Neodiprion lecontei: one gene and its partner. The protein of the gene in region 1 purifies or fractionates together with the protein of each later gene. This does not show direct contact. Links are inferred from orthologs where the notes say so. Each region holds a gene or a part of one and is shown on either strand. Other genes may lie near its edges.

Evidence for each region. The genes of interacting proteins can lie anywhere in the genome.
Region 2: the proteins of kinesin heavy chain (region 1) and fasciculation and elongation protein zeta-2 purify together in Drosophila melanogaster (affinity purification with western blotting; 3 studies listed by BioGRID). This does not show direct contact. The link is inferred for Neodiprion lecontei from reciprocal best matches to the Drosophila melanogaster genes Khc and Unc-76.

The regions. Positions count from the first base shown.
Region 1 is NC_060261.1:40,098,148-40,105,516, reverse strand, and holds the start of kinesin heavy chain, read right to left. Parts: upstream 3,965-7,369; 5' UTR 3,544-3,964; coding exon 3,385-3,543; intron 2,273-3,384; coding exon 2,131-2,272; intron 1,549-2,130; coding exon 1,375-1,548; intron 1,256-1,374; coding exon 987-1,255; intron 916-986; coding exon 669-915; intron 598-668; coding exon 361-597; intron 50-360; coding exon 1-49. Other genes in the region: uncharacterized protein LOC107220248, read right to left, coding at 7,201-7,312. UniProt on the Drosophila melanogaster protein: Kinesin is a microtubule-associated force-producing protein that may play a role in organelle transport. Milt and Miro form an essential protein complex that links Khc to mitochondria for light chain-independent, anterograde transport of mitochondria.
Region 2 is NC_060265.1:20,723,132-20,729,512, reverse strand, and holds the start of fasciculation and elongation protein zeta-2, read right to left. Parts: upstream 4,117-6,381; 5' UTR 3,939-4,116; coding exon 3,833-3,938; intron 1,042-3,832; coding exon 789-1,041; intron 1-788.

The DNA of each region.
Region 1 (7,369 bases):
ATTAAACCGCCACCAGGAGTTGCTGGCACGGGACCATCGTCAATTTTGGCTGTTTTAACGAGTGAAAAATTTTCAGTAAGAAACTTCTGCAGCTGCATACTTTATAATCAAATAAGTATGAATATGCTTACGAAGACAAAAAAAAACTGCTAGTACACAAAACTGGCATTTTATATGATAATGTATTTACAGGATGGTTATTTACTGTCTTACCCATAATTTCGCCAAGTGTTCATTCTTTTTACTTAACGTGTATTTAAACTTGATTATAGTTATGAATATTCATATCACTATTGGCAGGTAAATTGAATGGACATTCATCACAATTAATCAGAGAATTAGAACTAAATGGGTTCTTACTTTCAATAATTGGAGCGACTGGTGTGGTAACATCAGGACCTTCGACAAGACTGACTTGTTCTTCGACCTTTACAGTTTCACCCTGTCGCCATCTGGACAGTTCGGCTTCTAATTTCTCCACTTTTCCCTTAAGTCTTGCCGTTTTTTCCTTCTCACGTTCGTATCGTCGTTTCCATTCTTCAGCAGTCAGTTCCTCATTAACGCAAACAACATTCTTGATAGTCTTTGCACGTTTACCTGAAAACGATGTGAATTATGAGCAAGTGCAGAAGGAATTTATAACTAAAGGGGTGAGTTTTGTTACCTACCAAAGTCTAACGTAGACTTGGTTTCTGATTCGTTAAAGCTGGCAGGGGAACAGCAGATAATAATGGTAGTTCGGGCATTGCCTCCCAAAGATTCTTGTAAGATTCTTGTTAACTTCGAATCTCGGTAAGGGATGTGCGTTTTGTTGCCATCAGCGAGAGCAGATATGACATTACCCAAAGCAGATAGTGATTTGTTAATATTCTTTGCCTCGTCTAGTACGGTACCTTCAGCACCAGTTTTAGAGACCTACCCAGAAAAATATTGTGATTATTCAAGATCTACATCATGCATGTTGCAAGGCCTATTTTGAATCATACTTTTTCAGATCCAGCAAGATCGACAAGGTACAATTTGCCGGAAAGTTTTTTTTGATTTTCCAGGTTCTCCTGCTTTACGTTTATTAGGAAAACGGAATGTGATCTGGAACTGTGTTCATTCATGTTTGTCACAGCGATGTGCCGATTCGATTTTCCTTCTTCAATAACTTCAAATACTTCTTCGGGACTTGAAACAAATCTTTCAGTTGCTCCTTTCACAAAAGGTACACGATTTTTGTCTTCATGAACACTAAGGTTCACCTTAGAAACTGAAAAGCATTTTAAATATCACAAACCATTCCCGTGAAATGAAAATTAGATAAAAATTTATGATCTTTTTTGTTTATGTAAGACAAATTTGTGTTATAATAATGTAAAGCAAAATTACCATCTAAAAGATCTCGAATCTTGTCCATATAGATTTCAAAATATGAGACCTTAATATGAAATTCAAGATTTTCTTCCATAGCATAAATATGATTGAATATATCATTAACAATGCGAGGAATAATGCCCTGTTTGTTTGGATCGCCGATGACTCCCTCCATTGTGTGGGTTTTTCCTGAAAAATTATCAAAAATTTCATACATTTACGCACACAGAAAGCACGAGTTTTGATACCGCACAACAATTGTGTTTTCTCAACAATAACAGATAATAAAAACAATATTACCAAAAAGAACGAAATGAGTATGTAAGCTTGGAGCTTTGTCATGAGTGTTAAGTTACTAATGTTACTATAACAATGCATGTTTCGGAAAAATCTTTACTTTGCGCCTTTAAAAATACCTGACATTTAGTAAATCGTGATAAAGAAATCATACTCTTATTTTGCAAAGTCAAGTCCGTGAAATTCATTTCTAAAATTGCATGATAATGATTTTTTTCTCGATGTTTCATTACATTAACGTTATCTATTTCAGTCTGATACTTTAACTTGGTTCGACGTTGGTGTCACTTGAAAAAATTAATTTCAATCGAGATGTGAAAATGTACACGTCTTAATTTTTTCAAAACGCAGTAAAATTTTCGAAGTACAATATGAAATTCCAAAATGTTGTAGCTATTTTCGAAATCTGATTACTTCTATATATATTACTCTCGATTGAAAATTAGAAGCTAATATCATTTTTTGATTATCTACCTGATGATGTTTGCCCATAAGCAAAAATTGTCCCGTTATATCCGGCCAGGACATCGGAGACAATCGACTTTGCAGCCTCATTATAAACTTTCTCCTGCGTTGCATTTGGTTTGAATACTTTGTCAAAAAGGTAGACTTTACCCTGTGAATAATCCATGCATCTCATTAAACGATTAAATTTTTTTCAAAAGTAAATACAGAGGTCAAAGGTAGTCATGAATCTTTTTCATATTACGATTAGAGGAATCATTACGCAATATTTAGTATTTACACTGTCCTGAACAACACGTGATTTCAGATGTTCAAAAGACTTGGTATTTCATTATAAATAAGAGATTACATAGTCAATTCTCTTAAAATATTTTATTTTTGACTCAGTAGATTAACTTTTTATCTCCAGATTTGGAAGATCTCTACCACAGTTAAAGCAAAATAATTCCACAATAGTGTTTCTCAAACATCATTATATTTGAGTACGTGAACTAAAAATAAGGCTTCTGGTACAGTTTATGGCATTTTTCAATTAATTGAGCCTAGCTAAGTCGAAGATCTCACATTAGTACATCACAGCTAAGGTTCACTGTCCATTCCAATAATGAATTTATTTAGTCTGTCGGTGTGATTGTAAGTACTGCGAAAAAGGTGTTTGCCATATTCAAAGACTGAACCCTAACTTCTCTATGGTAAGTATTAAATGAGAAAATGAAGGAGCCTGCTTTCTTCATTATCTCAAGTATGTGATCTCATGTCAGAGATATGTGTATTGCAGGTTTAATTATCAATTAGTCAAGGAGTCGTAATCACGCCTGACCAATATAGGTACATGTACTTTGGTAGGATATATTCCTACATCTACTTTCATGACATACATTTGGGTATGCATCAGAATATTTGTCTTCACAATTTTTCAATACATTGTCGACACAATGAGAAATAAATGGGCCAACAGGGGAGGAGGTCAGTTCAAAGAGAATACAAAGCTGAAAGAGAAGAGACTCTTGAAAACTGTGAGCAGAATCAAAGCTTATAGTTATTCTTGGGGGTATGAGAATGGATTTTCAGACACTGGCTATTGTTGCTTGAGTTTATACTTTGACGACAGGTATTGTTTTATTAGGATTATAATACAATTAGACAGCTGTCAGCTGAGTTCTGTCATATTATTAACGTGTGGAAATATAACTTTTTGAGGTTAACGTATGCTCCAAGTTGACTCTGATTAGGTGAATTATCGATGATATTTATGAGACGTACCCCAATCGAAATACAGTTTTCCTCTCCGCCGGCTGGAAATTTGACAACGAATTTCGACCCAGCCTTTTCTTCGGAGTCATTGAGCGGTCGAAAACGGCACACAACTTTAATGCTGTCTTCGGCAGCGATTTCTCGCTCCCTCGGCTGATCGGTGGCCATCGTTGTTTATAATATTAATAATCTACACGGTAAGAATTGCACTTAGTTAATTTAATTAGGTGCTCCAAAACCTCGCACAAGTTGGGGAATGACTGCGGAAACTGCATTAAGACACCGCTGTCAGATCACGGCCAGTGTTCAGCAAAATGGCCGACATGTATGTGGGTAGCTGGTGACGATTTCGTAGAAATAAGGAAAGGAATACTTCGCGAAATTATTTTAACACCTCGGCTAGACTGTCGTAAGGTCGCGACAGGCTCTACGTGTGTATCCGCACCCGTATAACGCCCGAATAACTGTACTGACAAATAATTACGAGGAAGTAACGCTCGCCGTGAAAAAGTAAGGAAAAATGAAGGGAGCCTCCGACGTGACGGAGCCGCGGGCAGCCATGCGCGACCTGCCAGCCTGCCTCTTCTCGACGGCCGACGACGACGTCGCCCCCGCCGCCGCCCCTGCCTGCCTGATCCCCAATCCCCATGCCCCGCCTCGTTCGGGGCCCTCGCCCCGCGACCGTAGCTAAATTATTGATTTTACCAAGTTTTAGGTCTTTTCCTATACGCAGCTTCCACCGCGTTACATACGTATTTTTTTGTAAATTATAGACCTGTCGTGTTTACCGGTCAGAATTCTGAGCCTGTAGACTAGATACATTATTGTGTGTAACATGCGATATGCACGATACGTAGAAACATGGTAAAAAGAAACTAAATTACTGATGAATTGAATAGAAAATTACGCGATACCCTTTGTTTCCTTATTTCTAATCGACCAACAAAGCGTTGTGTATATATATATATATAAGTGTGTGTGTGTGTGTATATATATATATTTAGTCTTTTTTAGCGTAACTAGTGTAATATGTATGATGGGTTGCTGTAATTTAGATCAAAGGAAAGAATCCTGCCAGCAGGTAACGCTAGATTTGCGTAAGCGTGCCGGTGTAAGGATTTATTTACATAATCCTTTTTAGTCATGTTGAATAATAAATATATTATAGATCTCGTGAAGACCGCGTATACGTTGAAAACCTCCCCTATATCAATATCAAACGTCCTCTACCGGGATTGTGTGACCTCAATGTTACACTAATTTGCACTCTTGGAAAGTATCTTGCATCTTGTATCTGCTATCTAGATTCCTGAAACCCGCTATTTGAATCTGAATTTTCTAACTTTACACCCTTGAGCAATGTATGGGAACTGTGTTTTCAGATTTTAGGTTAACTGATCTGCAAAAGTTTATTCATGTCACAAATCTTGAAAGGTTCACAAGTGCTTTGATATTAATGTCTGTTTTCTATGAGTATCTGGATATAGATTAATAATTCAAATATCTATCTCAATACTATAAGAAACCATAGAAAATAATGCATATGTACGCATAATTATACATATAAGTATAACCGACAATTTGCAAATGTTAATTTATATAACAATGTACCCATTGCTACATAACATTTGTACGACAAGTGTAATTTGGAACTAACAAAAAGTAGTGAATGTATGAATTCTAAAAATAGAGTTTGGGTAAGCAAACTTCTATGTTAGTCATACAACATAATTTTAGGTTCAGGAGAGCATTTAAGTTGCTGATTCATTGATATCCTCAGCATGGTGTGAACTGTGCTCGAGATAAAATCTTTCTCATTCATAATAACCAACAGTCTTTCGAGCACACATTTGTTTGATAAAACTTACAAATATTCTCCTAAAGTGATGATTAATGTGCTCATATCCGATTTGTCACCCCATGAATTTCATTTGCTCATAATTTTCAATTTTACGAAACCAAGTTATGATAAAAATTTGTCAAGTCCCATAAAATAGTAAATACATACCATTAAGATACAATGAATTTTTGACTGATTTTCATTGGATAATTGATGCTGCATAAAAATTGCATTATATTCACTGGTTGAAAAAAGTGTTGTCTTACTCAACTACACAATGACAAAAAAGGCATTCTTCATTCATTTATTTTTGTTTTTTTTGTAACAAAACAGAAAAAATGTTTCAACATGTTCATAGATAAATGGTAATAATAATAATGATAATAATAATAAAAGTTGTACTAAACTAATATAATTTACTATAATAATTAACATATCGGTTATTATATGTATAAGTATAATAGATTAGATTGTGAAGAATTTCTACGTAGTAGATGACTAGTTTTAAGACTGAATGCATCACAAAAGTGTGCCATTATATATAATAACTTGAAGAAGTTTGACTGCGCTTGAACGTTTCAACAAAGCTGAACATTATTTAGAAGCACGATCACAGTGAGCATTGTCAAGTAAGTTATGAACACTGTTCACAGAAGAATCTAAGAAAGCAACGATAAGAGGCTCGACTTGACCAAATTTTTTACAAGATTAGACCTTATTTTTGAACATTGACACAATAATACAGATTGCCTCTATGGCCGCACTTATTATATGTGCTCTGTATCGACATGTGAAATCGAAAAAAAATCCAAAATCAGTAAACTGATTAAAACGACCATTCACTCCATTTTCCGAGTTCATCTGTAGGTTATCATGCTTTGATAGGAACACATGAACTGGAGGAAATCATGCTAATGAGTTTATCTGAAAATTTGAGAACAAGTTTGAGTTTGGGAGTTTAGCCTCCTGTCCCTACATTTTTGGAAGAACCTCTAGAGAGAGCACATAGGATACCATCATGTGTATGAAAGTATGCCAATCGAGATCGTACTAACTGCGAAATGTTCAACTCGAAAACTCTTATTTACCGTAATAGCTTATCTAGATGCCAATAAGTGCTCTTAATCTAATTGTGTAATATTTCTCGTTCCAGGTAGTCAGTTAATCGCTGTGTACTATTACAAGTATTCGGAATAGGTTTTATATGAAAGGCATCACAGTCATGCATGCTGATTATCCAAAACTAAGTTGTACACATCTGTTTGATAGAGAAACCGTACAGCTATTAATGTGTTATGTAAAATTGACTATTTCATCATAAATGTTTGCAATTGTTTTGTTTACATACTATGCACCTATATATATTGCCGCTTCGAAATTTGTATAATGCAAAAATGATAATATCCCCAATATACAACCCTTGAGGTCATGTTCCACAAAAGGATATACGAAACAAGCCTAAATAATATTTAAATAGGTATAAATTAAATTTCGTCTCTTCCAAATCAGCGAGTCTAAATAAAACACTGCATTTTGGCTCACTAATGACTACTCCGATTGGTGTAAATACAGAATTTCAAACTGCTATATAATAACTGACATTAAACAAATGAGTCAGTTGGTGAAAGTAATAATCTTGTAGAAGAACACCATCGCTGACAATAAGATAAAATAGTAAATTTCTTCAAAACTTATTGGTCATCGTTCTTATCTATCTGATTTAAGTGTCCGCACGGATTCAGAGACACGGCATAGATAGAATGCATAAAATTTTGTCTGTGTTTATCAATCCCATCACAGACTTCGTTTGTAACAATCTAAGCATTTCATTCTTTTCAATTTTGTTATGGATTCGCAACAGTTGTATTTGTCTTACTTAGTTTATACCTGCTTCTCACTATAATAGAACCTAGCTTCATTAATTTTATATTCGTAAAATTTATCAAAAGGTAAATAAAGCGATATTGGTATATTCCAAGGGATGCTTACTCGATTCCAAAAGTATTGGTTTCTTCAACAGCAAGAAGCAACTTTTCATACAAAATTTCTGGTGTTGGGTAAGGCGGTAAGTCCAAGCGATTGAAACAAGTATGCGCTCTGAAAATAAACGCAGAATTACTAGATATAAAATCGAGGCTGCCGCAAGTCGAAGCA
Region 2 (6,381 bases), on another chromosome or scaffold:
ATGCAACACGGTGTATGTATAAACACGCGTACATAGCTAGCCTGATTGTAAGCCGAAGCCCGTACAGTCGAGTGAATAATGTCCGCATACACGGTTTGCATTATCGCATTACGCAGGGGCGAGATTAGCGATGCGTAACACTTTAGAAAATATTGTTCATTACCAAAGTCTATCGGTATACCATCGATTTTAATTTTAACCCCATTTTAAACCCGACAACATCAAGTCCGCGACTATCATTATCATAACATAAACGGAAAAAAATATCGCACCTTGTTTACAGCTGCGAAACATCAGGAGGAATAATTCGCATCGTATAAATATTTTAATTCCAAATGGACAGGTTGTATAATATATATATATATATATATGTATGTATACATCGTCTTTACCGAGTTTTTTGGAGTAGATCATTTCTCGCCTAATATAGCGTATGTGTATATATATATATATATATATGTATATCTATATATATATGAGTAAATATGTACACAATATGAGTATTATAGTTTATTATATAAATTCCATATTGGCACGCGAATTTTACGATCGGTGTGGCTTAGCTATTGCAATGAAGTCATCCGTTGTAGGATCCACCCTCGCACATTTGACTCACTGACTCATATTGTACACAGATTAGAGCGATAAGAGAAAGTGAAAAAAAAATTGGGTTTCTCAGAAAAAAGATTTTGGATAAAAGAATCGAGAGAACACCTTGATGTGACGATGAACGTGTTGCATGATGTTTTATGATGCGATAGGATAAAATTGCAAGTTTTTTTACTTACTGGCATTCGTTCATGATCTCCTCTTGCGTTCGTACTTGGACCGGGGCGAGGGACTCGACATCGGTGCCGTAATCTCGAAAGCACGATGTGATTTTTTCGTCGAATGTATTAACGAGATCCTCGAGACTGCCGCTGAACGGACTGAACGTTCCTTCCTGGAGAATATCAACACCGTTGCCACGGGTGGTTCCGGTCTCGTTGGCGTTACGATTTTCGCCAAAATTCGCCTCAAGACTCGCGTCCAATAGTTGCTCTGCAATATAAGAAGAAAGTGACATTCATGTGAAACTTAGGTGAAACTTTAGGTGAGCATGGATGGAATCGTCGTTGACCGTCGTGCATTATTACACATATTCTACACACGAATTCAATGAATCTGTCTTCTCATTGAAGTCTTGATCTCATCTCTATATTATATTTAACGGCAGGGCATGCCTGACAAGTTGGGGATTTACATTAGGAAGGGTTTATCGCTACGACGACGATTAGTAGGCGTTGACACTAAAGGCGTAGATTAAACGGGAGCAGGAACGAAAGGTTAATGTGTTCGGCTCGCGCCGTCCGGTTCTCACAAACAGGCGGCGGCGGCATTTAAGCTGCAGCCTGCATGCAGAGGCAGCATGCGTAAGTACGTACGTACCTTATATCTACACGCTAGACTACCGGAGAGGATGCGTAGTCGTTTGCCCTGCGATAAGCGGCGATAACCCGAGGGAAGGCGGCCGAGAAAAAATACGCGGTTCCATTCACAGGCGCGTGTATTCAACGGATATACTATAAGATTTACATCCCCAGTTTCAGCTCTCCTCACCGTGACCCACAATAGTGGCTATGAATAGGTCAAGCTCTTTAGTTTTACTTTAGTGTGACATACGACGAGAGATATTCGTAGGTGTGTGCAGGTTACTGCTGCACAGTATCTACCTATTTTTTTTTTTTTTTTTTTTTTTTTATTCATAACCAAACGAAAATGAAAATTAGTTTTTCAGCTGTAGCTAGAAAAGTTATCGTGCGTTACTGTTATTTTTGATCATGCTCGCAATTTCGAAGTACCGTTAATTGTAACGAAATTTTTCTCATTCTTTTTTAAACTGCTTCTAGTGGTGTTGCTACTGCTGCTGCTGCAGCTGCTGCAATTGCTGCGGGGAATGAATGAGTCGCCCCCTTCAATTGCCTCATTTTTCAGCTGTCCGGTACATACAATCAAAAAGGCGACTCATCTCTTTGTCTTCATCGGGCTGGTGTAACTAGGTGTACACGTGTGTGTAGATATATAACCGATAATTTCGCTCTATTTGTAGTGAAGAAGTGAAAAATAGCTGTTGCGGTGACACGATGTAAGCGGACGCAGTGATTAACAAACGTGGACGAATAAATTACCATAGAATTTGTGTATCGTGTACATGAAATTTTTTTCAATTTACGTGGCTGTAAGATAAGCAGCGGATAAGTGGATGGTGTTGACTATGGATGCAGGTCATGTATAACAAGATAATTCGAAACCTCGGAGTTTCGCAAATTATTTCACATAAAAAGTTTCAGTTGACAGGGTGTGGATCGACAAAATCTGGAACGAAAATTTTATCACAGGTTATTCTCTGATTCTTTTTTATATAGAAGCAAAAGTGGAAACTGTATTCTTCCGCAATTGATGTAGTAATAAAAAATACTTTGATGCAATTATGAATTTGATGTCTTTAATTTCTAGATAATTAATTTTCTACGCTATACACAGTATTTATTTCATTTATTTATTGTACTCGTACTTTTGCCAATATTATTTACTTCATTTATTTTGCACATCTTATTCATTTTACTGTCGTTTTATTTATTTTTAATTTCGTATTATATTTTTGTCTTCAGTTCTACTTTATTATTCTATTTTCAACTTTCCTATCTATCATGCTATTCTTCTATGTGTATATTTCCGCATCTTATCATTGCGACCGTTGGTTCGTTCTGTTTGCTTGTCTTATGTGTATAAGAAGGAATTGTCCTACTAACGCAATAAATATCATTATTATTATTAAAATGAATTCCTCGCTTTGATCTCCATATTTTTTTCCAACTTTCCCAAGGATTTCGACGTTTCCCAAATTTGTGTCCATCGGGTGTGTTCAGAAAACTTCACGAGGCGGTCGAATTCGTAACCTTAATGTGACGTCGCGTTTTCTATAACGAAAAATTGCGATTTCGCAATTTTAAAATTCTCCGAAATTCAGTTCGCATGTAAGCCGCAATGAAACTATTTCAAGTCATTCTCATCAGACACCACAGATTTTCTTTGCAATGTTTTGTTTTTCATACGTTAACCAACGTTGCTAACTTCAGTCTCGTGAAATCTTCACGTCTACTAGTTACTTTTCTCCGTCAGTTCACGGAGGTATTCGTCCAACAATAAAAATAACAAAGTAAGCAAATAAACGTAAGAAGATCGTATTTAAATTCGGTAAAATTCTCCCTGATCACATCTGCGGGTAACCATAACGTAAAAATGTTAAAGAAATTCACCGAAATCGCGCGCCTCAAGGTAGCCGCTGCCAACCTGCCGGCACCTGCGGCACGGACCGATCATACTTTGTTTTAAAAAGGTTTTCCGAAAGGTGGATGTGTGCTCGAATCTCGGCCCTTCTCGACCCCGAATCACTTGGCGCATCCCTACCGCGTTTATCCTTTTCTCGCGACGAAAAGATATCCTTTTCAACATTCTCTCCACTCTTTCTTTCCTCATTCCAGCTACCAGCATCGTCGCTGTTCATAAATACTTCGGTCCATTTCGGGGAATGTTATGTCGAGGGGATAGCGATTCGCGGCTAGCTTCAAGCGATTGAAATAAAGAAACAAAAGCCGATCGCGAGGAGATTTTTTACCGCCTCATATGAAACGGAGTTCATTCTTCAGCACAAACCAACAACGCAAAGTGCGAACAATAACAAATACCCGCTCAGCTCAGTCAGCAGCCGCTTTACACGCGGAGGAGGGGGGAGGGGGGGAATGAAAAGGGTCGAGGCAGGAGAGAAAAAATAAAATTGACCATTCCGCACCTGTCAGCAAGTTGATATTCTTGAGGCTGGACGTCTCCTCCTCTTCGAAGCGAGCCAGGGGTGCTTCAAACTTTAATTCGGCCATTTTACCAGCCATGTCCCTCATGATAAACCACTTGGCACAGTTCGGACAGGGAGATAAGCCACCGGTAGAGACACAATCACTTCAGCTTGAAGTAAGGTTGTATTTTTTTTCACAGGGACGAGGAGAAGAAGCCTACGCGACGACCGTATCAATCCTGCTCCTCCGACGTTCGGAGGGCGACTGAATCAAGGAGGGGAAGAGAATGTTGGAGCGAGGAGTGGGGGGCAGATGATTCGACGTTACCATGCCGACCGTCAGGAGAAACACGACGCGAGTAACGGGAGGGGCTCTCATCGCCTCCCTGACGACCGCTCTCCTGTTCCTCCGCGAAAAGATTACCCGATTATACATACCTATACGTAGATATCTTTCGATCCGACATCAACTCTTACGATTACCTCGAAAGGTATCAAGAGACAACATTCCCGCCCTTCTCTTCCGTGCTCGTTACATTTTTCACGTGCAAAAATCTTTGTGTATCCGGTTAATTTTCCCAAGCAGGTCAACGTATTCTTTTCATTTTCATTTCTATTTGTGTTTATATTCTCGTTTTTTTCCGGTCATATTATTCGCTAAAAATATTTTATGATCTTCTTTTTTTGTTTAGTCAATCATTGTGGTACTGGAAATATTAAAGCTGTTAAGTTAGAATTGAAAATATAGATCGTAAAAGAGTTTAAGATTCAGGGAAATTGTAAAGTCCCAGAGGGGCCAATAAAGATATAGAATTGATGACGGTATTTTTCGTTTTTTCATTTGTCAACACCGAGTTGAGTTTCATTCGTGCAAAGCTGGTTCTATATGCGTATTATTATAATTAGAACGCTTCAAAATGAGGTTGAAACTTTCTCGTTTGAATCGTGCGCAATATGACTGTCGACGATGTTTACCTTTACATTAAATCGCCGAATGGCGCACGTAATGAAACGTAAGACAATAGCCAATATAAATTCATTGCTCTGCCTATGGCGCTTATAATTGAAACGTTAGTTCTCGCTTTATAAGGGGCCGATTTTTTTACCATTTGATGTGAATTCAAAATGATTACTTATAAAAATAAAATTACACTATACCTTTTATCACCATTCCACTCGCATTCACCGCTTCGTTTATCAATATTTAAAAAATCTTCACATTCGCTGTTGCACGTGCAAAGCTTAGCGTAACACAAACCAGTTATATTTTTCCTATGCTCTATATAAGTATACCGCAGAGAAACAGAGAGTGCATAAGTGTATTAAAGAACGAAGACCACTGACATAATATTGCGTTCGCGCAAGGCGAAGGCTAATTGGGCATAATTTTGTTAATTATACTACGATGTACCGATTACTTCAAAAAATGAAATATTCGAACCCTTGCAAATTGCAACAGCGTTTCGTAAATAACGTCGCTTATAATTAGCGAAGTTTTCCGTTTCGCAATACGTAGAACTGTCATTGTTTAAATTCTGATGAATAAACAATTTCACCCAATATAGTAGAACTATTTTTTCTGGTTTTACCAGCTTGATTTAAACCAAAGTTGTGCTTTGCGTGAGTGGAAATATAATTGAATAGGGTGCATATTGAGGCGAAAAATTGATATCGAATGCTGAGAACTATCCATCAGCACTTTTTAATAGTTAATCGGATTATTTACGTGAATAATTGACTCGCCTACCGAAACATCTTGTATTTATGTTTTAACCAAATTAGGGAAGCATCGTTTATATCATAATCGCGGGGCAACGTTATACCGAAATGTCACCGCGGTAAACTAGTCAATAAGCGACTCTATCTAACAGCATGTAGCTGAAGCGTAAATGAATGACCGAAAATTGTAATGCTCAGCCGACTTGTCAGAAATCTGTCGGTAAGACAAGAACTATACCGGCGGTGAGCTGCAAGGCAGATGGCGCCTATATTCAGAAACCCGCCGTACCGGTACGTATGTTAAGTCAGCAGCTATTAGGCGCTAAATTCCTATGGCGCGAATTTAGTTTTCTGTATTTCGACGGAAAGGTGATATTTAGGTATGGTTTTGAGGAATATTTAGAAGGCTATACTTCCAAGATTATTTTCAGAACAACTTGAAACGAAAAATTTCTTTACTCTGACAATTTCTGAAAGATTTTGACGTGCACATAATTGAAAATGCATGTGGATAATATTGCAACCCACATGAGGATTAATCTGTCCACAGCAATAACTGTATGTAAATGCATAAAATTACATTAGCTCACATGTAGGTTGTAATTTTTGTATCTAAATGTAGTGATTACGCAAATCAGCTACCGACAATGATGTGGTGAAGTAACAAATAATTATATGATATGTTTATGTATACAAGGTGCAGGACTGCTGTATACGTTGACTGCCGTATAGCAGTATAGTTTAAACGATAGAAGAAAAGAATGATGGGAAAAAAAACGTCGATGGAAAGTGGAAAAAATCCGTTGATCGTTAATCATAGGTGCCACACC